Nothobranchius furzeri: one gene and its partners. The main gene of each other region encodes a partner of the protein of the gene in region 3 in a complex. Links are inferred from orthologs where the notes say so. Each region holds a gene or a part of one and is shown on either strand. Other genes may lie near its edges. The genes, in order: sart1, lsm5, txnl4a, ppih, lsm3, prpf4 and lsm7.

Region 1 (4,251 bases), on a different chromosome or scaffold from region 3:
CTTTGCTAACTGCCTGGACCCAAATGGCTAACAGAAGCAGCACGATGCTGTTACAAGCAAGCCGATTTGTCATTTATTACTTGGGCTCAATCCATCGTGGGGGGTTTCGTGCTAAAAGACATTTCAGCCATCCAGGTAACAATTTCTTCTATTCTTTCTTATCCTGGCATGATCTGACGATTCTTACTGAGGGAAACACGCAATTCACGTATCTATTATCCTAGGTGACATATTCAAAGGTTTTTTTAATACACAAAATAAAGAATAGTGGTAAACTCGTGTATAGATCTATTGAGAAACTCGCAACAAATGCAATTACAAATATTTTGAAAGATAATTAAAATATCTATTAAGAACTTGATGAAATAGCATTTGATTCAAACTTTATTTATTGAAATACAGCAAGGCAACAGCACTACCACTGTGCCAACATGCAGCCAAAGCATAACAGATTCAAGTAAAATTTAAAATGTAGTATGTATAAAAATGAGTGAAATTAACATGTGAACTGATATGATATCCATAATGTTACACCTACTCCTACCCTAGGATCCACCCATCCCTTCCTCTATTCCACTGCATCTCTTTGTGCACTTCCATCTATGTTGCACTCTGATTCATTTCTACACTATTTTCGCATACTCCTCTGTCGGAGCCTAGTGTTCTTTCCTCTAATCAGTTTATCGTTAGAATCAGATGCAAGTACTGTTACATCCTTGTTTATAGATCGTTTTGGACAAAAGCATCTGCCAAATACATTAGCACAATGCCCTTTTTGATATCTGGAGCTCAATACAGATAAATGCAAAAGCTGAAGTAGAAAAATGTAATTTGAAAAAATCCTTAATGCTGTTGTTGGTAGACAGAAACCATTGCTAGACATCTGACTTTTTCTCTTTGTCTGAGAAGAATTAATTTTGATGTATATCTGAAAGTGATAAACATCCCAGCCATTAAATGTTCAAATGACCGTTTGGAATCAAAAGCATTTTTAAATACTCTAAACCTGGGGGTTTCCAATTGAAATATCAATTACAGTATTAAAATGTGTTTTTACTGATCAGAATGCACTTCTAGATATTATTTCAGTTACGATAAGTAAGAAATACATTTTGATAATGGGAATTATTATAACTTTATCTAAAATTTTAAGTGAATGGAAATGTTTTGCTTCATTAAATGCTATCACGGCTTGCTAAATACAGCAGGTTGCAGGCTGCAACCTTTGCTAAGCTAACAAGCTAAAGTAAAGGAACTGCGCCAAAATAGAGGAGATAGTAAATCGCTGTGTTGCACTTCGTGTACTTTTTGTAAAGTATCAAACAATTTTCCTAAAACATTTAAAAGCGTTTGTTTGTCAGTTAATGTCCGGTTGTTAAAGCCCCAGCCAGCAGGGGGCGATATACAACCAGGGCGAGCAAAGTTTTTTCTACCACTTGACTTCCGGAAACGAATTCGTTGTCGTTGTATGTTCGTTTCGTCGAAGTAGCAAACTTAAAACGTGGTTGTTAGTATTTATGCTGGTGCGAGGTGCTACAAATAAACAAACCAACGAAACTCCACGTATTTTCCACCGATGCTGGATATCGAAAATATGATGCAGTTTTCCCCGAAATGAGTGAGTTTTGACGTGGCTAACCCTTTAGCTTTTGAAGCTAACTCGACCTAGTTGGGAGAAAAGTTCGCGACATTTACCACATCAATACAGCTGAAGAGACTGCGTACGCAGCTTGACTGTGACGGAACTACGACTCTGGAGTTGTAAACAGCGGACGAAATCATGGGTTCTTCAAAGAAACACAAGGAAAAGAGTCGCGATAAGGACGCAGAAGAGCGCCGTCGTGAACATAAGAAGCATCGGCACAAAGAACGAGAGAGAGACAGAGATGCCTCAGATCGGGATGGAACTCGAGAAAAACGAAAACGCTCCAGGTCCAGGGAAAGGAGCAGACGGGATAGTCGCAGCAAAGGGGAAAAAAGCAGTGGCGAGACTCGTATAAAGAGGGAGAAATTGGATCCTGGCTATGAGGAAGGCAGTGCAGAAATACAGCCTCAGAGTGCAAGTGGAGATGCTTCCCTCAGCGTCGAGGAAACGAACAAACTCCGAGCCAAGCTGGGTTTAAAGCCTCTGGAACTCAATGAGAACAAGAAAGAACTTGGAACCAAAGAGGAGCCACTGGTGGCTGAGACCATCAACCCTGTTCTCATCCAGCAGCAGAAAGAGATGAGGGAGAAGCTTGCAGCTATGAAAGAAAAACGTCTCCTCAATCAGAAACTGGGCAAAGTCAAAAACCTTGCAGATGATGATTGGCTCGATGACACAGCCGCTTGGATTGAAAGAAGCAGAAAGCTGGCACAAGAGAAAGAAATGGCAGAGAAAAGAGCCAAACTTCTGGAAGAGATGGATGAGGAGTTTGGTGTCAGCAATCTGGTTGAAGAGGAGTTTGCTCAAAGTAAATTGGATTCTTATTCTTCACGGGATCTCAAAGGCCTCAAAGTGCAGCACAAGGTTGATTCCTTCAAGGAGGGCCACACTGTCATTCTGACCCTGCAAGACAAAGGTGTCCTGGAAGAAGAGGAGGATGTGCTTGTGAACGTGGGACTGGTGGACAAGGAAAAAGCAGAAAAGAATGTGGAGTTGAAAAAGAAAAAGCCTGACTACAAGCCCTACGAAGAAGAGGAGAGTGTGGATGACATGGTCACCTTTAAGCCCCGCACTGTACTTTCAAAATACGATGAAGAAATTGAAGGTGAAAAGAAAAAGAGCTTTCGTTTGAGCACATGGGGATTTGCTGATGGGGAGCGAGAACGGGAGCTGCAGGCTATGAAAGAAACGCTGCAAAACCAGGCCCAGTCTTTGGAAATGCCTGCTCTTGCTATCGCTTCGGAGTATTACACGCCTCAGGAAATGGTTGGCTTTAAAAAGACAAAACGCCGTGTGAAGAAAATCAGGAAGAAGGAGAAGCAGACAATTGCAGATGAGCTCCTTGATGACACTCGCAGCTCTGACTTTGGCTCCCGAGCACGAGGTCGGGGCCGCAAACAGGACAACGAAGAGGAGAATACAGGCAAGGGCGAGCGTTGGCCACATGAAATCCCCCAAATGTCTGATGACATCAGGACGGCAGAAATGGAAATGAGTGATGAAGAAAACTTCACGCCTCCTGAGCCAGCTGTAATTGAGGAGGATGAGGCAGAGCAGGAGCTGCAGAAACAACTGGAGAAACAGAGGAAGCTGAGGCAGAAGCAGCTTCTCAAAGACTCCGGGGAGAAGGTGGCAGAGCAGATCAGACGGTTTGTTAAAGGCGGTGACGAAAATGATCCTGACAAGAGGAATAACATTGTCTTCAATGCCACCTCTGAGTTCTGCAGAACTCTGGGTGATATTCCAACGTATGGACTGTCTGGAAACAGGGAAGACCAGGAGGATATCATGGACTTTGAACAGGAAGAAGAGAAAGATGATGCTGGAGATTCAGACTCCGAAATGGATGAAAATATTGGGTGGAGCACAGTTAACCTGGATGAGGAGCAAAATCATGCTGAATTTTCCACAGCCTCTGCCACTATCCTGGATGAGGAACCCATCGTGAACTCTGGCCTTGCTGCTGCTTTACTGCTGTGCAAAAATAAAGGGCTGCTGGACACGCAAATGCAAAAGGTGGCTCGTGTCAAAGCAACAAAGGGGTCCCTGCCTAATGACAACTACTGCATCGAGGACAAGATGGGCTTTGATGATAAGTACAGTCGCCGGGAAGAATACAGAGGCTTCACGCAGGATTTCAAGGAAAAGGATGGATATAAACCCGACGTCAAAATTGAGTATGTGGATGAGTCTGGGCGCAGACTCACCCCAAAAGAGGCATTCAGGCAGCTTTCGCATCGTTTCCACGGCAAAGGTTCTGGAAAGATGAAAACTGAAAGGAGGATGAAAAAGCTGGAGGAGGAAGCGCTGCTGAAGAAGATGAGCAGCAGCGATACACCTCTGGGGACGGTGGCTTTGCTTCAAGAGAAACAGAAATCTCAGAAAACGCCGTACATCGTCCTCAGTGGCAGTGGGAAGAGCATGAATGCAAACACCATCACTAAATAAATATGTAGGGGAAAATGATTATTGTTGTAGCTCTTTTGAGATTATTGCTAGTTTATGGTCTTGCTTCAGTGTTGATATAACAATAGTATAAGAAAATCAGTACAGGTGTAAACTATTTCATTTGTCTTGTGAATTTCCTAAAAGAACAATAATTTAAA
Region 2 (3,526 bases), on a different chromosome or scaffold from region 3:
TGCAGGCTGAGCTAAAGGGAGGTGTGGCTGCTGTGATGTCACAAGAAAGCCTCTTTTTTATGTTTGTATGAATAAAATATTTGTTCTGAAAATATGCACTACTTTAGGACTTGGGTTTAATCATGCCACCAAATAAAAGGAAGTTTTGCTTCAGAGTCAGTTAGAAAATACCAAAATGCAAGTTACTGAAAGGAAAATAACGAATTTCACATTTTTGAGAGGAACTGAGATATTTCTGATGCAGTTTTTAAAGCTTGTAGCATCTTTGATTATTGTTGTTTCTTCCTATTCTGCCCATCACCGTTACTGAACATTAGATAATCAATTAGTATGGAGATCCAACCGGATGTGGGATCAGGTGAGCAGCTGCTGGAAACAACTGGAAAATTATCTGAGGTGGCAGCCAGAAGAGATGTTATATAACTCCGCACAAACAGCTAGAAATCAAAGACGGTTAAAATTAATATTTCCATCTGCATCAAATCCATCTCACCTGCAGTGAGCTGGACCATAACCCTCCATTCTAATGTTTTAGTAGGAATGCACCTTTATACCAGAGCTAGCCACAGTTAGCATGAAGCAGGTTCGTACCTGACAGCCTTTTTTATGGTGAAATCCAACAACCACGATGTGTAGCACCGGCCCCTTCCCTTCAGTTTCGCTGCCGTGAGACTCCATTTTCCCTCAGTCTTCTGTTCTGGAGGTCCGGTGGCGTTTGTGAACTCAGGGGGTTCGGATGTAAACACAGCGAACGGAGCCTAGTTTGAGCCCCGAATCTTTCCCACGCACACACACTCACGCGCGCGCGCACACACACACACACAGCGCTGCAGCTAGATTTCAACAAGATGTTTCCCTGTTCCTCACTTCCGTGTTTGCGTTACCGATTCTGTCAGATCCATCGGGGTCAGAGCACGGATTAGCTGTTAGCATTAGCTTTTAAATGAAAAACTGGTTCAAGTCGCATTTACACAATTTATAACAACCTGTTTCCAATGAATCTACTGACATATTTTCTTGCGAATATCTGATTTTGATCAAATCCTAAAATCAGTCAAGCATAACTTAACCAGAAACAGGAAGTAAACAAATAAACTCTCCATGCTGCAAAATCCATACTTAAGTCTTATACTCAAATATTTTTGCCTCTAAAGTGATTGTTGTTTTGGATGTTTTATTTATTATTTTTTGTGGGGGAATTTAAGTATATTTTTTTATCTATAGCATTCCAAAGTAAATCAGAGTTTGTCTATTCTTGCCTGAATTCGATTTGCTCTTGATTCGATTGGTTGTGACTGCTGCAGTCACACGAAGAAAGTCATGGCGGCTACTCAAGCGACAAACCCGTCACAATTGCTCCCTCTGGGTTCGTAAAATCTAATTTTGTTCCGTTCTTGCTTCAGATAGTTTCGCCTTTAGATACATTTCAATAAGAACCGAACAAGCAGTTCTAATTTAGTGAGTAGCAAACAGAAGTGAGCCGTTTTAGCGGTAAAATCACGCCGGTGTTACGTACAGATCTTTTCACCGAAGTAAACCGTGTCCCCGCTTCCTGACAAGATTTCTAGTCACAGGATTGTGTTCCTCCTGCTAAAATATATTATCTGTGGTGTACGGATTTAATTGTCAGTATGTGTAATTTGTGAAGTAAGCAGTTGCATGTATTTGATAAATTTAGGAACTCGTGGGGGTTATGCTTAGTTCAGCCATCTTTATTGCTTGCATTAATTTACTAATAAAAGTCAAATAAGGAACATTTTACCATTTAAAACATATTATAGCTTAAAGAAAAAGTTTTAAAGAAAACCCCCGGAGATTCTGGTTTAGATGGGGGACACATCTCGATGCAACACCAGCAGGTTTTAGCTAGCTGCAGATAAAGCAATAATTTCGTGTTCAAGCGTGAGTTTTTACCTAATTTATTTTAACAGAGGAGTATTTGTGGCAGTCTAAAAACTAAAAGAAGTGATTGTGTCCTATTTTACAGCAGTTATGACCTGAAAAAGTCAAACCAGCTCGGGTGCCTTAATGAGGATGGCGTGCTGATTGTACACCTGTCCGTGTCTGAACATGAGCAAAAGCTGAGCTGCAGCAGTCATAATAATACTCCTGAACTTATTGTGTTATTTAAATTCAAAGTAGTCACACCCGTGAACAACTTTCGTTGACAACTGACAAGAAAATTCATTTCGTCCATCGACATATATTCAGTTAGATTTAGTCATATTCTTCTGCCACCTACTGGCCAATTAGTGTATGTGCAGTACAAACCTCAACAGTATTTCCCTTAAGAAAAAATGATTTTTAGTAGTTGGTCCTGATTGGTTTTAGATGCTAAACATCACATTAGTTATTTAGAAAATTGTTAAAATCAAACTGAAAACTGTAGAAAATAACCTAACCTGTTATATTTTCAGAGCTTGTGGACAAATGTATCGGCTCTCGAATTCACATCGTCATGAAAACCGACAAAGAAATCGTCGGCACCCTGCTGGGGTTCGATGACTTTGTCAGTATCCTTCCTTAAAAGCTGCTGATCAGCTGTAGTGCGTGATTCAGAGGTGACATGTTCAGATTTGGTCCTCAACTGTGTGTTTCAGACATGGTGCTGGAGGATGTGACAGAATTGTAAGTGTACGTTGTTTTATTAACCGGTGTCTGCCTCATTCATCCTGCTCATCTCCTGGTGTTTCTTCCAGCGAGATCACACCAGAAGGACGGAGAATAACCAAACTGGATCAGATCCTCCTCAATGGAAACAACATCACCATGGTAGGACACAAACGGCTTCGGTCTCTCTCAAACATCACTCAGCTGGATGATTCATGTCGGGTTCATTTCTCCTGCAGCTCATTCCTGGAGGAGAAGGACCAGAAGTGTAAATCCTGTTTTGTGTCTTTTGTTTATTCTCTCCAGGTTTTTGGAGCATATTTTTGTAACATTCTTTGTTCAGTTTTTAGTAAAAGAAGCAGGTCTCACGTGGGAATTAAGATGTCTTTGTTGCAAATAAATCTGTTTGAAAAACATCCTTGTTTCATTTATTTATCATAAAAAGTAAATTTAGTGCAAACATTGGGACAAAATGAAGTGTTACCATCAGAAACCAGTGATAAAATCCAGCATCCAGTCTTTGTTGGACTGTAAAGCTAAATGAGAAGTTTCACTTTTGACTCATGAACAAAAAACGTGGAACCGATCTAGAGCTGAAACAACTAATCGACTTAATCGATTATAATCGATTATTAAAATAGTTAACAACTTTTTTAGTCATCGATTAGTTGTTTAATAATCATATTTTACCGCATAAAGTCTATTTTTTACCACAATCAGACATCGGTTACAAGCTGTTAAATTTGCCGCCAGTGTGTGGCAGTAATGAGCCACTGATCTACCAGTGGAGCCGTAGAAGAAGAAATGAGCCAATGGGTGCCCTCGGTTTTCATGACGTATCACGTTACTGACGCTCATCTTGCTGTGAGAGATGGCGGAACAAGAGGAAATACGGAAGAAAAATAGAAGCGACAAA
Region 3 (3,226 bases):
ACCGAATAAACCAAGCCTTTTGTCAGCTTTAAGGGATGATTGCTGTGGTGATGGTAGTCGGAGAATAGATTAGAACTTTATCCCACGTCAGCTACCATGACTGTTTGTTAATCAATCATGTCTTAAACCAAATCTTCTAACAGGAGAAAGGTGAACTCATCATTCACTGGGTCATTCATTACCACAGTGATGCGGTTAATTAGTCATGAAATGAAAAAAATATAACTTTTAGACATATCTAATGATCATTTAGACTCTCTCTCTCTAGGGAGTGCCACAATGTGCTGCTATGTCGTCAGACTGGAACGTTTTTTCTTTAACCTTTATACTATCTTTTTCTTCTTTGATTGTACTGCAGTAAATTGCACAATAAGTGTTTTTTCTTCGTGTTTTTCCACTATTAGAATTGTACACCCACACTTTAAATAAAATAACGTCTCTAAATCTAAGTAAGACTGAAAGATTGATGATTTATTTGTTTATTCGTAATGGTATTTTCAAGTTTTAAAAGTGCTTCAGCATTTAAATAAGTCCTTGAAAACAACTGAAACTGACTTTATGGTGCAGACGTTTCCTTTAATGAGACAGCAAAGTGACGTGATTGTTGTGAACAAGTATAAACGGTCTCTGTGCAACACCGGTGTAACGTGCTGGAAAATATTTAAAAACTCCATCTTAAAGTGCTTGAAAAGGGTTTACATTTTATTATTTACAAAGTGTGTTAGGAAGCCTGCAAAAAATCAAGTACGACACGTAGTATTTGACATTGCATGATGAGTTAGGGTTGGGTTTTTACAAATTTTTCTTTGGAATCTCTTTTTGTGGAAGAATTTGAGTTTGAACGCAGAGTAAAACTCCAAACTAATCATTTTTCAAGCTGTATCCATTTTACAGCAAGTGTGCCAAATATACACATTGTTCTAAATTTGTGAACTTGTTAAGAATCAGAAATACTTCACAGCATCAAATATTAACAGTTTTTTTTGTAAAGTACACAAACAACACGTGCACGTTTTAATTGAAGTGTGGCAAACAAGCTTTACAAATAAAGAGTGCTCCGAGATTTCCTAAAAAATGTATTCATGTTGCAAATTTCTAATTATGTTATCTAGACTGTAAACATAATTTCTGTTTGTTATTGAGCTGTTTGAAAATCTGTTTGTTCTCCATGCATGAATACGAAATACATTTAATACTAGAAGTATTTCTCTAGTTGATCATCCAAAAAGATGATCATCCAAAAAGATATTGCTGGAAAACATAACGTAAATATATTTATTTTAAAAGTACTTGCTGGAGTGAAAAGTAATTATTTCAAATAATTAATTATTTAAAATTTTTATTTTTTGTGTGCGGCTTTCACATTAAAAAATAATAAATAAATAAATTGGGACTTTTTAAAAGAGTTTTTCGAATTGAGCGACTATGACGTAAATTTAACGCGTCTCCTGCGTCGCTGATTTGATGACGTCGTGAAGCGTTTGTTTTCCGTGGGGTTTAAAAGAAGTCACATTGAACATAGCTGCTTTATCTATAGTTAGTCCGTTTTCTTCCCGCCACTTAAATACTCTATTTTATATTTTGGGGTAAGTGTTTCAGAATATTTAGTGGGAAGTTTCATAATTGTGTCTTTCAGATTGTATCCATGGTTAACGCTAACTAGCTAGCTAGCTGTTGCCGGTCAAACCGTTCTCTGGTACTCAGAGATGTTTGTTTAATTTAATGTTCAGCTGTGATCGATTTGAACTCTTTATTTGATCCATTTCAGGTTAGAATTTGCTCATTTTTGAGTCAAGATGTCGTACATGTTACCGCATCTCCACAATGGATGGCAGGTCGACCAAGCCATCCTGTCTGAGGAGGACCGAGTCCTCGTCATCCGCTTCGGACACGACTGGGACCCAACATGTATGAAGATGGACGAGGTTCTTTACAGCATCGCTGAAAAGGTTTGATTTGTTTCCTGTCTTTATTATATAAAGTCCGGTTGGCTCAGATTCAGGAGTCGCGTCACATTACCTGCTGGCGTGCTCCAAATGCCATGTTTAATTCATTCTTGGTTTGTTTATTTACAGGTGAAGAACTTTGCTGTCATTTACCTCGTGGACATCACAGAAGTGCCTGATTTCAATAAGATGTACGAGTTGTACGACCCCTGCACTGTCATGTTCTTTTTCAGGTAGCTCTTCCAGTTCCACATGTTGCAATAGACAGGGCAGCTGAGTAAACATATTTTAAGGTGATATTTTTGTCTTTCTCTTCCAGGAACAAACACATCATGATTGATTTGGGCACCGGTAACAATAACAAGATCAACTGGATAATCGAGGACAAACAGGAGATGATAGATATTGTTGAAACTGTGTATCGAGGAGCAAGGAAAGGAAGAGGTTTGGTGGTGTCTCCCAAGGATTACTCTACAAAATACAGATACTGATTTTTTTTCATCCTCCTTTGTTCAGTTTATTATTTTTTCATTTGACAAAATGAAGAGACAAAAAACACAAAAGGTTCAGGAATATTCTTCAGCGTGTTTACCTTTGGTAGTAAAACAGGACATTGTTGATAATGGTGGGTTTAATGTCACTTTTTGTTTTTGCAAACGTAGCTTCATAAATATTAAGTTTTGTGTTTTTTAAGGCTTATTTCTGTGAAATATGTCAGTGTGGAACACATCGGTAATATTGTACAACTTGTAACTGTTTTAATAAAAAACTTTTACTTAAGATTTAAATGTAGTGTTTTAATTTATTTTATATATATATATATATATATATATATATATATATATATTCTGAACCTGCTTGTCCATGTAGGGTCGCGGGGGGCTGGTGCCTATCTCCAGCTGTCACTGGGCAACCAGGCGGGGTTCACCCTGGACAGAGCCAGTCTATCTAGTACTTCTAAGGCCTATAAAATAAACATGTTTATCATGAGTACAAGCTGTTCCACCACATCATTAAGTATAAGACTGATAGATTTATGAGTGTAAAACTTAAAATCCTGCTTTTCTGTTGTTAATACTCTTAATTCTAGAAGGCTTTTAATGACTGGCTAAAAAATATGGCTATAAGTTTATAAATATAATGAATATATGATCTTATTTAATTATGGTTATGCAAAATAAGATAGTAGACAGGCTTTTTAAAATGTTAAGTATTTTAAATAAAACGAATCTGTGCATAATGTTGGAAATCATACCATTTTAATGACATACCTGGAATCT
Region 4 (4,086 bases), on a different chromosome or scaffold from region 3:
ATGAATTATGTGTACCGGGAAAACAAAAAGGAGCAGACCAGAGTCTTGGCGAAATAAACACGGAAAAGGGTAAATCCTAACAGATGTTTCGGCAATTCGGGTAAATAACATAATTCATTTTATAACACCAGTTGTACTGTTACCTGCTTTGTCCCATACGAGTATTAGAACAGCTGTCTTTCCTCCGTGTTGGTCTACTTTTGTGTGGCTTTTTCGGATAGTGAAGCACACACGACTCCTCCTACAGACGGTACACAAGGTTCTGTGCCACATTCATTGTACCTCGTAAATTACGACTTTTTGCCATCTAGTCATGGATTTGTTTTGAAAAATAAATAAAAAATACACGAGCACGCGCGCGCACACAAATCTTTATATTAACCTGTTAACATTTTTTGACATTTTGAAAACGAACCATGAAAAGAAATATGAAATAATTAATCAAAAGAACAAGTCGGAGATGTTATTTTGAAAATCTATTTAAAATATTACTCTGATGGCATACCCTGCCCTGCAAAAATAAATAGTTTTCAAGTCTATGAAGTAAAGATAAGTAATTTATACATTTATAGATCTAGATTCAAATACTGAACTTGAAGTTTTGCCATACATCATACAAAACATGTTTGAAGCATTTATATTAGTAAATCTCTATTATAATGAGTTGGAGAAAATTATAATTTTCTGAGCATAATTTAGCCACTAGGAACTATACATTACTCATCTTTCAGTGTATAATAAGATATTTCAAGTGTTTTTATGTTGGAAAATACTGGGTTTTTTTACTTGTCCAACACATCCAAAATTGACCTATTTCTATTTCTTGCGAATTTCCCAAGTCGTGTTTTCAATATTTGACTATTTTTATTTAGTGAAAAAATATGCAGCACAAGGTGGCGCTCTGGTAAAATCATTCTAGAGTGTTCATTCGTGTTCTCCTGGGTTCTCCTGTGCTCTCTTCTTCTAAAGAGGACAGTGGAGTCAAGACGTACATTGCATTTTATTTTGCTCAACTTAATTCTGTTTTTACTATTCACTGAGACTGTATTTTAATATTTAGTTATTTATTTCCAGCTGACCTTTAAATAAAATTTGAAACATTTTAAATTTGCATTTTTGAACTGCTAAACATCAGGAAAAGGTTGGATTTAAGTTATGTGAAATCCTAGTAATAACATAGCTATGGGAAACAAAAGATTTACACCAACATTAGCCAGGGTCTAAAGAAGAAATATATACAATGCATGTCTAGGTTTTTGTCCCTAGTTGCAATTCGTACCTTGTCTCTCGCGAGCCACCATAAGTTTCTTCTGCGCATGCTCTCTATTTTCAAATGGCTAGTATGTAATTTTTTTTGCCGATTTGTAATTTGAAATCTGTGCAAAAGCGGTCAAAACATATCGATGTCTGTTCAAGCGACAAACCCAAACAACCCCATCGTGTTCTTTGACATTACCATCGGAGGGCAGGTCAGTGGAACCCAAAAGTTCTTTTTATTTTACCGAAAACGTGCTGTCAACGTCACCGCGCTCAGTTACTCATCTCAACGCAAAGTCGCCTTTTGATTAAGTTTATGGGAGAGTAAGCAGAATTTTAGGTATTATGTTTAGTTTATTTGTTTCTTATAATAGTAAATCAGTGCTACGTTTAACGTTTTGTTTAAGTAGTGGATATTTATGTGCTTTGAAAGGCGCAGAGAAAACGTTTAACTTGAATAAAAACGAGATTGAGGTTCTTTTTATCTTCCATTTCAACATTCGACAATCAACACCAAGAAGATTTTATAGGTTTGAGAAAGTGGCTCTGCGTGTGCAAGTGCCACCAGTAAGAACTTGGTTGGCTCACCTGCTTTTTAAAGCATGCACCAGGACATTAACAAAACAGCAGATCTGTGTCGATGCTGAACATGTTCATTCAACATAGCAGACACTGCATGCAAATGGATACTTCTCATATACTTACAAAGTACCCCTGACCACTGATTATAAAGCAAAGTTTGAAATAATCGTATTAATAATTTCAAACTAATGTGAGTTATTTTCAATAATGAAAAATCACAAAACCGTTAAAAATGTGTGCAAAATTTTGCAGAATTTCAGGGCAAAGACATGTTTTCACTATTTTTTCTCTGTTAAACGTAGCATTAGGGCGGCGATGCAGTAGGTTGTCCTGTTGACTTTCAGAAAGAAGGCTGCTGGTTTGAATTCCAGCTGTGGCCTTTATGTGTAGAGCATGTTCTCGCTATTTCTGCGTCGGCTTTTCCTGGGCACTCCTGTTTCCTTTGATGGACCAAAACCATGCATGTTCGGTTCATTGGGGGCTCTAGTGGGCCATTCCCATTTGTACCAGGTCGGCCCGGGCCGGGTAGCCCCGGTCGGCCCCAGCCTGGCCCGGTTGATTCCACACATCCTTGCCTTAAGCCCATGTGGGCTGATTCTACCCACCAATCAGAGGCTTGCTCTAATGGAAGGTGTGAATTTGCTGTCAGCAGTGGGTGTGTTGGCCCTGGTCGGCCTGAAGCAAACCCCCTCGAGAAGAGGGCTGAGAATGAGCCTTGGTTGGCCCGGAAAAATACCAGGCCACCCAGATATGTAAACAACCTACCCTACCCGGCCCGGGCCGACCCGGTACAGATGGGAATGGCCCATAACTTGCTTCTGTGTGAGACTGGTTGTGTATTTCTGCATGGAGTGAGAACCCCTGCCTTTCGCTCGGTGACTGCTGGAGATGGACACCAGCTCCCCTGTAAACATACAGGGAAAAAATGGTTCTGAATATGATTGGGTTTGAAATGTAGCTTTAACTCTGTTGAAGTCGTGTTGCAGGATATGATTATGGAATCGGTAAAGTTTTTTATTACAATGACTTCATGTGGACATTTCCCCTCTCTTTGCTTCACTGCAGCTGAAGTCATCAAATGCTCTTCAGTACAAACCTAATCAGGAAACGGCATCTGATTTAGTTTAATTTGAAGAGGATGTTTCACTTCTAAAGCTACAACATGTAGCTGCTTGTCACTGGGAAACTTACACAAATGGCTGTAACTGATCTGAACCCAGAGCAGAAAGCCATAATTAGAAACAATTTGTTATATGTTCTGTAGCAGCCTTACCTTCAGCCTCGTTCAGACCAGGTGACTCCACCCTACTTGGCCAAACAAAATTTAACTTGCAGCAGAATCTCAAACATATGTAGATGTTTCACCTTCAATCTGTTAGAACACTTCTCATTATTCATTGTTAATCATAGTGGATTTCTGCTATAAGGATTTGTCCAGAAGGACTGAAGGTAGGGCTGGGCAATGAAACGATGGCAATAAATATTTCAAAACAACTTTTCCTCGATGGACATGTGAGAGTGGGAAGATAGAACTTCGGTATGAAGAGTAGAGACCCACAGCTCAGTAGCAGCCAGGCGGATGTGCTGCTAACCGCTCATGTTTGTGTATCTGTAGCCTCCTGCTTCAGGTAAAAGTAGAAAAATGAGAGCCCCAAATGGAAAAAAAGAGATGGACACTGTTAATTACGTCGTTGACAATAAAGGACCGAACAGTTCATTCGTGTGGACGTAGTTTGAATAATTCTTTTGCTGCGAAACTAATGACGTTGAGTGGATGATCTAAACAAAGTCTGTGAAACCACAGGAGCTCATGAGCCAGTGCGACCCGCTGGAACAGCAGGATGTAAAACTTGATAATAAGAACCCAAGTCTCCTCCCCTTCCAGTCAGCTCATGGGTCCCTGGAGCAAAGAAAAAATAACCCGCTTTGCCTTACGCCCTGAATCACAATTATGTCATGTAATTTCAGCTTTGTTTGCTTGTAAAAATTCGTAAATAAAATGACTACAAATCAGAAGTCGCATATATGACGTCCCGACAAAATCTTTTCTCCCCAGCGTAGCTGCTACTTATCAGATAGCCAGATTTATGGTGGTTTTCACGTTTCGTTTAATGCTCCTTCTTTGGTCCTGGAAGAAGGATTCTTTGCTAAACTGATCTCCCCCTCTTCTCTGTCTGGGTCAATTATATCAATTTAGTGGGACGAACGTTTGTAGTCCTATATGTATTTTTCCACACAAAACCTGAA
Region 5 (4,072 bases), on a different chromosome or scaffold from region 3:
TGGTTAAAAGCAATAAATCAGTGGAGAAAAACAAGTGATTCTGAAATGCACTGCCAAGTTCTTGCAACTTCGACATCTCATGGGGCTTAAAGGAGATGTACAGTTGGATGTCATCTGCATAAGATGGTTGGAGATTTCTTTGAAGGAGCTCAGGATGTGCTGAAGAGGGAGCAGATAGAGGAGGAAGAGTAGAGCGCCCAGCACAGAACCTTGTGGGACACCATGGGCGAGGGAGGTGGTGGAGGACCCAAACTTGGAGACGGCCACAGAGAAGCACCTAACCCTAACCCTAACCCTCAGACAGATAAGAGGAGAACCACTTCAGAGCAGATCCTGATATGCCTACCCAGTCTCTCAGCAAAGCTGCTGACACACAACCTTCTCCAGAAGTTTCAAATTGAAAAGGAGAATAGAGATTGGCCTGTAATTGTCTGCACAGAGACATCAGATTCTGGTTTCTTCAGGATCGGTTTACTGACTGCAGCTTTTAATGCAGTTGGAACCACTCCAGTGCTCAGGCTGCCGTTAATGATCAGACGCAGAGACTGACCCAAACACGGAAAGGCCTCCTTCCACAGACGAGGTGGCAAAACATCGAGTGGAGAGCTAGACGACTTCTGCCCTGAGACAAGCTTAGACAACTCAGAATAAGAGAGTATTAAAATAGCTCAGGGTGGACTGTATTGGAGTAACTGGATCAGGGTCTGTAGATGAACCAAAAATAGCAGCTCTAATGGCAGAGACTTTGCTAGTGAAAAAGTTGTGAAAGTCATCACATTCTCCAGCAGCAGTAGAAAAAATGATGCCAGAGTCCTGGTACACTGAGACAGAGTTAAGCGTTTTATGGAGAATTTTTGAATTGTTACAGTTTGTATCAATGATGTCAGCAAAATAGCCCGTTCTAGCGACCCTCACAGCATCAAGATCAAGATACTCTAAACATCTAATGGGAGACCTGTAGGTCTATGCCCGTTTATGTGCAGCCTACAGTTACAACAACCGGCGTACAATTTGAAAACAGATCAAGCGGGATTACTAGTAACTTTACAAGCCTACCTCATGGAATTCTATATTTAAATATATTTTAATTTATTTTGTTAAATTATATTTATATTTTAATTATCATGCCATATATTGTATCAGCTTTTGTGAAAAAGCTTGATAAAATGCGTTTTTTAGTTGGCTAAGCACCTTCCTAAGTAGAAATTAATGCAGTGGGGGCGAATGGAGACCCAACTAAGATGGCGGTCGGCCACTACGGCAGCCGTCCACGGGGCGTCTACGTATATATGACTGCGACCTCAGAGCCCATTGAGGCACTAGGCCAGTTAAAGCATCATGGCGGATGAAGTGGAGCAGGTTCGTTTGGTTGCCGTGTTTATACACTTTTGTTCGTTTTAGCGTCTGTGCAGTTGCTTGACTTCGTCGCGCATTATTAACTTTATGCATTTCTTTAATCTAAGGATACAAGCGTAGCATTTTGCTAATTGCTAACACGGTTTAATTGTGTTTAGGCCTGTGAAACCGGTTAGCCCACATTCACCTAGCGTTCAGCTCATCCTAAAATTATCAGTAAGCGCGTAAAAGTTACCAGATTCTCACAAATGAAAGATTAATGAATGACTTTTCCCGTTATGTTTGTCTAGCAAATTGGACAAATAATTAATATTGAGTTTTCTTTAACTATTGTGTTTAGTTATTAACTTTAGTAAGTAACGAGTCTCAACAAACTGTTTGGATCAAAGTTTATGATTTAAAATGAATATTTCTAAGCTGTAATGTGCAATTTAATTGAAAATAAAGATATTAGTGACAAAGATACCATAGTGTTAATAAGTCATGAGACGTTTAATTGGTTTGATCAGTACTTCTGCACACTCTCTTTACATTTCCTATCAGATGGTTTGTTTTCTAAGCCCTGGTCTTTAAAGGCAAGCCTTAACAAAGCTGTACAGACACAACAAAAATGAATAAATAACAATATAAAGACTCAGCTAAACAATGTTTGGATATTAGTGATGCATCGATATAAATTTTTGGACCGATACTGATATCCGATATTAAGATCACTGTTATGGCCGATAACCGATATTTGCCGATACCGATATACACTGACATTAATGCTTCCAAAATCTGCAGATTTTATATAGAATGAAAATTATTAAAGCTGGATTTACATTATTGTGTACACACAACACACACATTTACGCTTCTGAGGTGATTACAATCACTGTCACATGATTAAACAAATACACATCACCCCCCTCACCCTCTGAAACTGATAAACAAATGGAGACGAGATAGAAAAATTAATATCGGCCCGGTTTTATTTATGGGACCAATACCGATATGTTTAAAAATGACTAACATCGGCCGATACCGATATTGATGCCGATATATTGTCCATCCCTATTGGATATTTTTAATCTAGATTTTTAAAAACATTTCCGGTGAGTGTAAAAAAACCGACTAGTTTTGTTTTTAAATGTTTGCTATTTGATGAATATGCCAATAAAAAATGGAATCCGTACATTGATGATTATTTTAATGTGTTCCACAGCAACCACCTACCAACACGGTGGAGGAGCCTCTCGATTTGATCAGGCTCAGTCTGGATGAGCGGATCTACGTGAAGATGAGGAATGACCGGGAGCTCCGCGGTCGACTACATGTACGACACACACACACACACACACACACACACACGGTTCAGAAGATCCAGTTTTTTCACAATACTTGCTGATAAAACAGGTAAAAAAAATAAGACTGAAAATTCTAATGTCAGTAAAACAACTTAAAAGGTGAAACTAATCTATGAGACAGACTCATTCCACGCAAACCCAGATATTTCAGCCTTTATTTGTGATGATTATGGCATTCAGCTGATGAAAACCCCACATTCATAATCTCAGACAATTAGAATATTGTGTTCAGGTAAATATTCTAGTGTCAGACTTTTATCAGCTGATGAATCCAGAACACCTGCAGAGGGTTCCTGAGCCTGTAGATGGTCTCTCCATCTGAGCTTGATTACTGTCATAAATGGACTTTTGCACCATATTCTCTTTTGTCCAGTTTCACCTGTATGTCCTAACTAATGTTTGCCATCTGGTCCAGGCGTATGACCAACACTTAAATATGATCCTGGGGGATGTGGAGGAGACGGTGACAACAGTGGAGATTGATGAGGAGACGTATGAAGAACTTTATAAGGTCAGTTTTTATGAACAAACATAGAAAAACCTCTCTAGCCACATTTCTACTGAACAGCTTTTGTTTTGGACTCTTTGCTGTGTTTGCTTAGTGGCAAACTTGTGCCACTGTTGGGTGATGCTTAAAGATCCATCAGATGCAGAAACGTTAAACGATGTTAACTTGTCACTTTAACATAACGCTGAATAGATCTGCAGAAAGTAATAAAACAGAATTTTAAGATTCTACGAGGTTTCATTATTGTTCATGATCAGAAACTCAAGTTTTATTTAAATTTGACGGTACTTTAGTGAGTATTTAAATAAAATATCTGTTATTTAAATGTTTTTACTGTATTTGTTTCTTTAGTCTACCAAGAGGAACATCCCCATGTTGTTTGTCAGAGGAGACGGCGTTGTCCTCGTAGCTCCGCCTCTCCGAGTCGGCTAAGCCCCCCATGCCTGACAGGATGATGTAACTGCTTCTGGGAAGTGTCCATTTTTGTAGGAGAGTGTTATAAATCTTCATTTTCCTTATGCTAGACTGTTATTTCATCTTTAAATTTCATGTGAATCAGAGGCTCTTCTCTAGGGCAAAATGTCTGAGGGGGGAAAAACCCAGGAAGTATGATGTGAGGACACTTTTTTTTATTTTTTGACACATTCTGGGATTGTAAGAATCGGCCTCAGTAGATACTATTATTTTTAGTAGAAAAACATTTTTCTGAATCTTATCAGTTCCGATTGAGTCATTCCAGTGTTTATAAAGACTCGGGTCCCCTTGTGAGCGAAATGTTTGTTAAATTGCTCAACTTTTATGTTGATTTTTAGCTAAATGATTGCATTTGAGTCCCAGAACATTCTTTTTCTTTTACATGACG
Region 6 (4,300 bases), on a different chromosome or scaffold from region 3:
GGCTCTCATAACACCTGAGCAGTGCCACAGACTGATCGAGTCCATGCCACGCCGCATTACTGCAGTTATTGAGGCAAAAGGAGCCCCGACTAAGTATTGAGTGCTATACATGCACATTCTTTTCATGTTCATTCTTTTCAGTTGGCCAACATTAGAGAAACAAACATTTTTTCATTGGCCTTTAGAATATTCTAATTTTCTGAGATACCAGATTTGATGTTTTCATTGGTTGTCACCTATAAATATCAAAATTAAACGTAATAAACATCGGAAATACATTGGTCTGTGTGCATTGCATGAATATAATGTACAAGTTTCACGTTTTGAATGGAATTACTGAAATATTTTCAACCTTTTGATGATATTCTAATTTACTGGCCAGCACCTGTATAAGAATTATTAACATCATCAACATAAACATCAGTCCAATCAGAGCAAAACAGTTCATATTTCAGAGCTTCAATTGCAACAGAAGTTTTTTTTCTAGTTGTGGTATAATTTACATTTTCCAGAGATGTTTCATCACTTCTCATCATTTCCACCACAGTAAACACCAGTAAATGATCAGTAATATCAGTTAAAAAAGGCCATTCTTTGTCTTGACGTCAGATTGATTTATGAATATATTATCAATCGGTGTAATACTACGGCTGTTATCCTGCTTGGTCTCAGTATCAACGGAAGGAAACCTAAACTAAACATTAAATTGATAAATTCAGCTATTTTAGTATTATCATCTGATTTAAACATATCAGTATTATAATCACCACAAATTAAAGCAATTTTGTTCCTACATTGCCCAAATAATGTTTCAATACGTTCATTAAACTGATCTATAGAAGAACCAGGACTACGATACATACAACTTATAATGATGTTTCTGGATTTTTTACACTTAATTTCAATTGTCAGACACTCCATCAAATTCTCAACAATGAAGGTCATATTTGTTAGTTTCGTACAATCAAAACCAGTCCTAACAAAAAGTGCTACCCCACCCCCTCTTTGTTTTGTCTGCTCTGAGTAAACATTTCATAGCCATCCAGTTTATTCAATAACTCTTTTCCATCTTTGATCCAGGTATCTGAAATTGCAACTACTGTAAGTTTCTCCTTGAACTCATTTAGGTAATCTGAGATCTTAGATAAATTGTTGTAGAGACTTCTGCTGTTAAAGTGTATTAATGAAAATCCACACATACTCACTTTGAAGTCCTCTACAATATAATATTCACAGTCCAGGTGGGTGTTGCTGCAACCATTAATTTCTGAGTCAACTCCATTATCTATCAGATTTGATATTTTTTTTAGATTTTATGATCTACATCACTGACAAACCTAAAAAAAAATCTATTATTTCCTGATTTCTTGTAGTCTGCTGTGTCCATGAATTAAATACCATCTTCTTCTCATCATTTGAGTTTTTCCAGTTCAGAGAGGCTCTTGATGCTCACCACCATAGCCTGTTCTGGTGGTCCAGTAAGCTTGATCATTACTTTACAGTTCCTTATCCAGGTATCCTGTATTTTCCTCTCCTTCTTCAGAATTCTTGCTTGCCAGGCAATCTCTGCATTCTTCTTTGTCAGGTGCTCATTTACATACACTCCTGTGCCCTTAAGCTTCTTTACGACCTTTAACAAGTCAACTTTATGTTTCCTGCTCACAAACTGAATTATTGTTTTGTTTTTTTTTTCCAGTTTTTTTAGGAATTGTGTAGCATGCAGCTATAGTGGTGCTGTCAATAGAAATGCCCTTACTTCCAAAGAACTGAATAACTTGTTTCTCCAGTGACAAACTATTAATGGTAAATGGCCTGTATTTGATATAGCGCCTTCTGAGTCCTGCAACCCCCCAAGGCGCTTTACAACACAATCAGTCATTCACCCATTCACACACACATTCACACACTGGTGGGGATGAGCTACGATGTAGCCACAGCTGCCCTGGGGCGCACTGACGGAGGCGAGGCTGCTGAGCACAGGCGCCACCGGTCCCTCCGACCACCACCAGCAGGCAACGTGGGTTAAGTGTCTTGCCCAAGGACACAACGACAGCGACAGACTGAGCGGGGCTCGAACCTGCAACCTTCCGATTACGGGGCGAGATCTTAACTCCTGTGCCACCATCGCCCACGCAATGGTGGGTTAGGGTTAGTTCATTATTTATTAACTAACATTAACACTAATTGATAAATTTTTATTATGTTGTTTGAACCCAAGGGTCTCATTATCAGATTTTTTTAACTTGTTGGATTGATCTAAAAGTGCCCCCTTTTTTTTTTTTTTTTTTTACTTTGAGCCCCGCCCCGTCAAAGGTCTCTGCACGGCCCTGGTTTCAGTAGAACGAGCTCTACGAAAACCTGACTGCCTGGAAGCTATCATAGATGTTATGAGTGAGTTAGTAGTGAACTGGTGCTGCAACCCACACCAGTAGTGAACTGGTGCTGCAACCCACACCAGTAGTGAACTGGTGCTGTAACCGTAGCTGTGCAGAACACACACGGACCGCACGACGAAACCATAGAAGCGTTCTGATGTTCGCACGTGACTCGGAGCTAACGGCTCACGGACACGCGTGTCTAGCCGAGCACGCGCACCTGCTGTTTGGACCATAAGCGTGTTTCTCTGTTTTAAAGCTTCGTTTGTTTTGTTGTTCAAACTTACCGTAAAAACAGACGAAGCCGCAACGTCTCCTAGCACTGCAACCCGGATATGAAACTGTTGGCTTCCGGGTCAAAGCTTCTTTTTCCGGTTGGTGGATCCGTGGACTTATGGGTAATTAACCAATCTACCTGTTAGCCAGATAACCAAACAGCTGACGATCAGGACGAAGGAGAGTCTCGGTGCGTCAGGTAAAGTCACCTGGGTTCGTCACACAAACGGGTTCGGGTGGACGGAAGTAAAGTTGACATGATGTTCACAGATTCGACTTTTCCGCCTCAACAACTTCGGATGTTCTGGAACATAACGCTGTGTGGAGTCAACCCGCAACACCTGCGTTATTTAAAACCTCTGCTTGCGACGCTTTTACGTTGATGGGGTGACGGTGGCACAGGAGCCCAGAGCCCCCCCTTAACCGGAAGGTTGCAGGTTCGAAACTCATAGAGTTGCGTGTTTTCCCCATCCATGCGGGGCTTCCTTGCGGGGTTAGACGCGGTTTTCCCCCCCTACAGGCTAACTCTTGTAGGTCTGCCACATAAATCAACTTGCCCTGCTCTCCTAACATTTTTTGATAAATGTGTCTTTAATTAGGTGAATTTTTAATCTCCTCCACAGTAGGACCCTAAACCTAGTGGCGCCAAATCGTCACAGCTGATCGATACTCTTGTGCCCGGCTTGGTAAACCTTTTAGGTTAAGAAAAACTGGTTTTCTGATGTTGGGTGAATTTTTCTAACTTGAATTATCAGTAGGTCCTACACAATGCACGGTGGTGCCACCTGCTGGTGAAGGTGGAGGTTTGTCAGCAGTGGCAGAACCAACATTAGGACGAATTACTGGATGCTTTCTTTGCAGTGAGATGATAAAGCATCTGGAGGGCTTGTTAGTGACCTGAGCAGTGAGAAGCGTGATCAGTGAAACATGTAAATGAATGATAAACGACCCACGCTTGTGTAGCACCTTTCAGAGCCTGAGGACTCCAAAGCGCCTTACACTACAGTGCATCATTCATCCATTCACACGCTGGTGGAGATGAGCTACGATGTAGCTACAGCTGCCCTGGGGCACACTGACGGCCAAGGCTGTCAAGCACTGGTGCCACCGGTCCCTCCGACCACCACCAGCAGGTAAAGGTCTTGCCCAAGGACACCACGGCAGCATTCTCTGTCTGAAGCTGGGATCGAAATTGCCACCTTCGGGTTAGTGGACAACCCGCTCTACTCCTGAGCTGCTGCTGTCCATCATGTAGTTCTGAGCTGCTGATAAAATTCAGGGCTGACTACAAAATCTTGCTCATCACATATAAGGCCACTCACAACCTTGCCCCTCGTACCTCTCCCATCTCATAAAGGTTTCTACACACTCCCCAGTTGCCATCAACCGGCACAGTCCCCCTGCCCGTCCTGTCACCGTGGGACGTCTGCCCCCTAACCCCTCTCCGTGGAAGTCATTACCAGCTGAACCCTCCACCTGTTGAAGCTTTTCTCTTCCCTGTAACTATGTTTGACGTTTTATCGTGCTTTTGAATGCACCACTCATTTAATGCTTGTTCGACTGTTTCGTTTGCTTTTACTTTACAGTGAACTTGAGTTTTTAGAAAGTATTTTTACGATGATTATTCACTTCACACATCTGTTTGACTG
Region 7 (4,019 bases), on a different chromosome or scaffold from region 3:
GCCTCACCAAAATATCTTGACCTACTTGTGGTTTGCAACCCACCAACTGGTACACAGTCAGGGTTTATTAATAGTAGTCATGTGTGGGTCATGACCAAGCTAATTCAGTGTGCTGGCTTGTTCATGTCAATGACTGGAGCAAGCTCCATGCTGAGAGCCTTTATTGGTTATTGATTTTTTTCCCAATAACAATACTGAAACTCAAAAAATTAGAATATGGTGCAAAAGTTCACTTATTTCAATAATCCATCTTAGACTGAGAGACCATCTAAAGGCTCGGGAACCCTTTGCAGATGTTTTTGATTAATTAGCTGGTTAGAGTGCGACACTTTGAGTCTAGAGTATTGAACCTTCTCGCACGTTCTGTTTGTCTGAGATATTTAGTTTTAGATGTTTTCGTAAGCTGTAAGCCATAATCATCACACTTATAACAAATAAATGATGGAAATATCTGGTTTTGCATAGAATGAGTTTATCTCATGAATTTGTTTCACCTTTTAGGTTTTTATACTGAAATCAATAAACTTTTGAACCATGTTCAAATTTTTTGAGTTTCATCTGTATACATTTTATTTTAAAAAGGGTTTCATTGTGGGGCAGTTGGAAGCACTGGTGACTCACAGGAACAATGTCATAGGTTTAAACCTTGGCTACGGCCTTTCATTCTCTCCATGCATGTGTGGGTTTGCTCTGGGTACATGCTCCTCCAGCAGACCAAAAACATACAAGCTGATCGGCAACCCCAACTGTCTTTAGTTGTGAACTCAGTATTAGCATAGTTTTTAACACTGTTACATACTGTTTTGATTGTGAATTTAGCTAAATAATAAACGAAAAAGGCTGTTAGAGCGAGTTTCCCACTCGCTGATAACAAAAGTGTTATAGCGTTTTATTTAGAAAGAATTTACAGGCAGTTTTCTCTTCTCCATCTCCATCAACCAAAAGAAACAAAAATACAGATTATGATCCCCCCCCCCCCCCCCCCCCAGTTTCATTGCCATGAGACTAGAACGTTCCCTTCTAGCTTCTTAGAACCTGATTGTAGTTGCAGTTTATCCCCACTGGAGGGCGTAGATTTCTTCTGAGATTGTAGCCTGTAGCTATTAGCTAACGCACAATGCAGCTGAGAAAGATGAACGTTTTTCCCAGCCTGACAGCGTATTAAGACAATCACATGAGTGTGTATTTAACTCATTACGTTTTAGTAGAGATGGTAGTCCCGAGACTTTTACAAAAATCAATATTGTTTCATTTTACTTTTTATGGTCTACAGCTGGACCTCTCTGAACCCTCTGAACGCGTTATCTCATTGGATCACTATCATTTCCTAGGGTCTAAGATTTACTTCCGGGTCAGACAGTAAATATGGCGGTGAGTTCGTAATCCATGGCTTTCATTATATTGTGTTACTTTTTATCTTTTCACATCCACATTTGTATTGTTAAGATTTAGCTTTGTTTTCTGAACAAAAGTCGACTTGAACAACTTTTATTTTGCTGTGACGGTAGACGTTTTACTTAAATAACGTGGCTAGTAGTGAGCTAAGCTAAGGCTACGTTTTGTTTGTGATTAATTAGTGACTTAAGACAATGTAACCTGGCCTTTCTGCAGGATAAAGAAAAGAAAAAGAAGGAGAGCATCTTCGACTTGTCCAAGTATATCGACAAGACGATTCGGGTGAAGTTTCAAGGTGGACGAGAGGGTGGGTGGACCAAGCTGTTGCTAACCCTTTCATTTCGTGCAAGCAGTAAATGTCTAGATTTCCTTATGTGGAAGCCTAAAATTTGTGTTTTCTTCTCAGCAAGCGGCGTTTTGAAAGGATTTGATCCTCTGTTGAACCTGGTGCTGGACGGCACGATCGAATACATGCGTGGTAAGAAAACCAAAACTCAAATCCAGCCAGAAAACTGCTCCTCAGTCTGAGTCCATGTTTATATCGATGAAGGACTTTTCCTGAACACATTCCGAAGTTCCCCAACACACATAACTATAAAGTAATAATTCGCATTAATTTCGCCCCTACCGTCATCTTTAAAACGATCTACAGTTAGTGAAAATAAGCATGTTGATCAAAACATTATGTTCATGTTCAGAGCATGTTTAAGAGACATTTTTCTACTTCACTTTTTTGAGTTAATTTGTTTTTCAGTAAATTATCAGGAATACGTGTGTGTGTGCGTGCGTGCGTGCTAATCTTGTTTGACAATAAAAGCAACATAATTTTAGATTATCTTCAGTGGACGAACATTACATATAATTACATGTAGACAAAAACATGTTGCTGCTATGTTTAAAAGAAGAAAATTCACAGGCTCTAAATAATTCATTCTAAAACATCAAATAATCCGAGAGATTTTCTGGGCTTCAAATTGAAAAAAGGTTTCCAAATTTTCAAATCACGCCCTTGTATGTAAGATTAATTTTTCAGTTTCATAAAATTAAGAAAGTCTGTGTGTAAAAGCATCTGTGGAATTGTTTTCTTTTTGTACAAACAAACAGAAAACATTGTGTAGACACCTCTCTACTGGAACAGTGTGTTGTTTCCAGGTAAAGGTAAGTAGCTGGTTGTGTTTTTTGTGCTCTTACCCTGTAAGGTTACTCCACCTATCTCCTCTACCATCACTGTGGATTTGTTGAAAATGTGATGCTAGTTTGAACAAACACTGGAAAAATGCTCAAGTTTCTAATTCTCAGTTTAGTGTTTGGAGGGGAGGGTTGAGCTAATATTCAGAGGAGTCATGGAGGCCACTCGGGTGGAACAAAAACCAGAAACATGTGGGGGGAAATTAAATTGATTTAAAAATCCCCAAACAAAAGATGAGTGGCTTTTTTCAGTTTGAGGTTTGTTCTTTAGTGGTCGAAGCAGATTTTTAACAGTGATAACAAATCAAATGTTGTTGGTTTTTTATCGCTGTTACAAGTGGTCGTCTTGTGTGGACTTAACATCTTTGAAAAATACATCTGAACTGAAGATGGTCAAAACAAAAAAATCAAAGGTCTCACCATTCATGTTTTAGTTTTGAGTGCATTCCGGTAAAATGCTTGGTGGACACCCAGCTGCTTGACATTTCCAGTGTGAACGTTCTGTGGCTTTGTGTGCAGATCCAGACGACCAGCTGAAGCTGACAGAAGACACCCGACAGCTGGGGCTGGTGGTCTGCAGAGGAACCTCTGTGGTGCTGATCTGTCCTCAGGATGGCATGGAGGCCATTCCTAACCCATTCATCCAGCAGCAAGATGGATAACCCCCATGCTGCTGCGTGGCACACTTTTGATTAGACTTTTCTTTTTTAACATTACAGGACACTTGTCATTCAGACGACAAACATGTTTTAAGTTCATCACTGGTAAAATAAGGCTCCGTTGCACTTCAGTTTTATTTCCCTGCTAATTTTGCTCATTTTTGTGTTGTGAGGAGCTCCCAGTTCTGAAAGTGTTAAAACAAATTTCTTGTTATCTGAGTGAACTTTTTACTATTCTTTGTTTTTGATAAGAAAATAAAGTGGAAAAAAAGCTGAATCTGAATGTTTTTCTCCTTTGAACACAGAGGACGTGTTGGAAAGTTACACCAGATATGGTCTATTCGAAAGGGTGACAAGGATCTGAGTGGTTTTGTTGACCCGACAGACGTCCCCTACCTGCTGGTTGTGACTGACTCGATGGGTCTACAGACTACTGAACTCTGCAGTAAAAAAAAAGATGAGTGTGTTTAGGTTTAAAGGGAGTTTCTGTGTTTGAAGATAAACCGTTCAAGCTTGTCTGCACACTCACAAAGACACATATGTGGCATTAACAGCTTTTAAGTCAGTAATGCATTAAGCTGGGGTGGGGGTGTAAAGTAATGATATCTATGGATTGTTCCTTTTGAAAGAAAGGATCTTCAGTAGATTTTGGCGTTGGAGAAACGCAGAAACAAAATGCTGATGAGTTTTAAGTGAGATAACTGAAGCTGTTTTTTAAAATGGCAAAATTTTTACTTAACTGGATGTGAAACCTCCTAAAAGTAGGTTAGAATAGTG

The links.
Region 1: txnl4a (region 3) and sart1 share a complex: the UniProt entries of both Homo sapiens proteins name them as parts of the U4/U6-U5 tri-snRNP complex. The link is inferred for Nothobranchius furzeri from reciprocal best matches to the Homo sapiens genes TXNL4A and SART1.
Region 2: txnl4a (region 3) and lsm5 share a complex: the UniProt entries of both Homo sapiens proteins name them as parts of the precatalytic spliceosome. The link is inferred for Nothobranchius furzeri from reciprocal best matches to the Homo sapiens genes TXNL4A and LSM5.
Region 4: txnl4a (region 3) and ppih share a complex: the UniProt entries of both Homo sapiens proteins name them as parts of the U4/U6-U5 tri-snRNP complex. The link is inferred for Nothobranchius furzeri from reciprocal best matches to the Homo sapiens genes TXNL4A and PPIH.
Region 5: txnl4a (region 3) and lsm3 share a complex: the UniProt entries of both Homo sapiens proteins name them as parts of the precatalytic spliceosome. The link is inferred for Nothobranchius furzeri from reciprocal best matches to the Homo sapiens genes TXNL4A and LSM3.
Region 6: txnl4a (region 3) and prpf4 share a complex: the UniProt entries of both Homo sapiens proteins name them as parts of the precatalytic spliceosome. The link is inferred for Nothobranchius furzeri from reciprocal best matches to the Homo sapiens genes TXNL4A and PRPF4.
Region 7: txnl4a (region 3) and lsm7 share a complex: the UniProt entries of both Homo sapiens proteins name them as parts of the precatalytic spliceosome. The link is inferred for Nothobranchius furzeri from reciprocal best matches to the Homo sapiens genes TXNL4A and LSM7.

What each region holds. Positions count from the first base shown.
Region 1 is NC_091744.1:19,554,452-19,558,702, forward strand, and holds the start of sart1 (U4/U6.U5 tri-snRNP-associated protein 1), read left to right. Parts: upstream 1-1,451; 5' UTR 1,452-1,780; coding exon 1,781-4,093; 3' UTR 4,094-4,251. UniProt on the Homo sapiens protein: Plays a role in mRNA splicing as a component of the U4/U6-U5 tri-snRNP, one of the building blocks of the spliceosome. May also bind to DNA.
Region 2 is NC_091747.1:62,679,674-62,683,199, forward strand, and holds lsm5 (U6 snRNA-associated Sm-like protein LSm5), read left to right. Parts: upstream 1-1,242; 5' UTR 1,243-1,320; coding exon 1,321-1,366; intron 1,367-2,417; coding exon 2,418-2,513; intron 2,514-2,600; coding exon 2,601-2,628; intron 2,629-2,699; coding exon 2,700-2,772; intron 2,773-2,849; coding exon 2,850-2,882; 3' UTR 2,883-3,026; downstream 3,027-3,526. Other genes in the region: late secretory pathway protein AVL9 homolog, read right to left, coding at 592-678. UniProt on the Homo sapiens protein: Plays a role in pre-mRNA splicing as component of the U4/U6-U5 tri-snRNP complex that is involved in spliceosome assembly, and as component of the precatalytic spliceosome (spliceosome B complex).
Region 3 is NC_091751.1:22,094,757-22,097,982, forward strand, and holds txnl4a (thioredoxin-like protein 4A), read left to right. Parts: upstream 1-1,441; 5' UTR 1,442-1,586; intron 1,587-1,768; 5' UTR 1,769-1,796; coding exon 1,797-1,949; intron 1,950-2,075; coding exon 2,076-2,179; intron 2,180-2,265; coding exon 2,266-2,437; 3' UTR 2,438-2,726; downstream 2,727-3,226. UniProt on the Homo sapiens protein: Plays a role in pre-mRNA splicing as component of the U5 snRNP and U4/U6-U5 tri-snRNP complexes that are involved in spliceosome assembly, and as component of the precatalytic spliceosome (spliceosome B complex).
Region 4 is NC_091755.1:32,545,059-32,549,144, reverse strand, and holds the start of ppih (peptidyl-prolyl cis-trans isomerase H), read left to right. Parts: upstream 1-1,286; 5' UTR 1,287-1,403; coding exon 1,404-1,469; intron 1,470-4,086. Other genes in the region: zgc:154075 (putative oxidoreductase YteT), read right to left, coding at 144-157. UniProt on the Homo sapiens protein: PPIase that catalyzes the cis-trans isomerization of proline imidic peptide bonds in oligopeptides and may therefore assist protein folding. Participates in pre-mRNA splicing.
Region 5 is NC_091743.1:73,197,565-73,201,636, reverse strand, and holds the start of lsm3 (U6 snRNA-associated Sm-like protein LSm3), read left to right. Parts: upstream 1-1,272; 5' UTR 1,273-1,338; coding exon 1,339-1,359; intron 1,360-2,560; coding exon 2,561-2,671; intron 2,672-3,117; coding exon 3,118-3,213; intron 3,214-3,561; coding exon 3,562-3,642; 3' UTR 3,643-4,072. UniProt on the Homo sapiens protein: Plays a role in pre-mRNA splicing as component of the U4/U6-U5 tri-snRNP complex that is involved in spliceosome assembly, and as component of the precatalytic spliceosome (spliceosome B complex).
Region 6 is NC_091746.1:69,563,499-69,567,798, forward strand, and holds the start of prpf4 (U4/U6 small nuclear ribonucleoprotein Prp4), read right to left. Parts: upstream 2,801-4,300; 5' UTR 2,663-2,800; intron 1-2,662. UniProt on the Homo sapiens protein: Plays a role in pre-mRNA splicing as component of the U4/U6-U5 tri-snRNP complex that is involved in spliceosome assembly, and as component of the precatalytic spliceosome (spliceosome B complex).
Region 7 is NC_091748.1:58,320,411-58,324,429, reverse strand, and holds lsm7 (U6 snRNA-associated Sm-like protein LSm7), read left to right. Parts: upstream 1-1,261; 5' UTR 1,262-1,365; coding exon 1,366-1,371; intron 1,372-1,611; coding exon 1,612-1,702; intron 1,703-1,801; coding exon 1,802-1,873; intron 1,874-3,102; coding exon 3,103-3,245; 3' UTR 3,246-3,519; downstream 3,520-4,019. UniProt on the Homo sapiens protein: Plays a role in pre-mRNA splicing as component of the U4/U6-U5 tri-snRNP complex that is involved in spliceosome assembly, and as component of the precatalytic spliceosome (spliceosome B complex).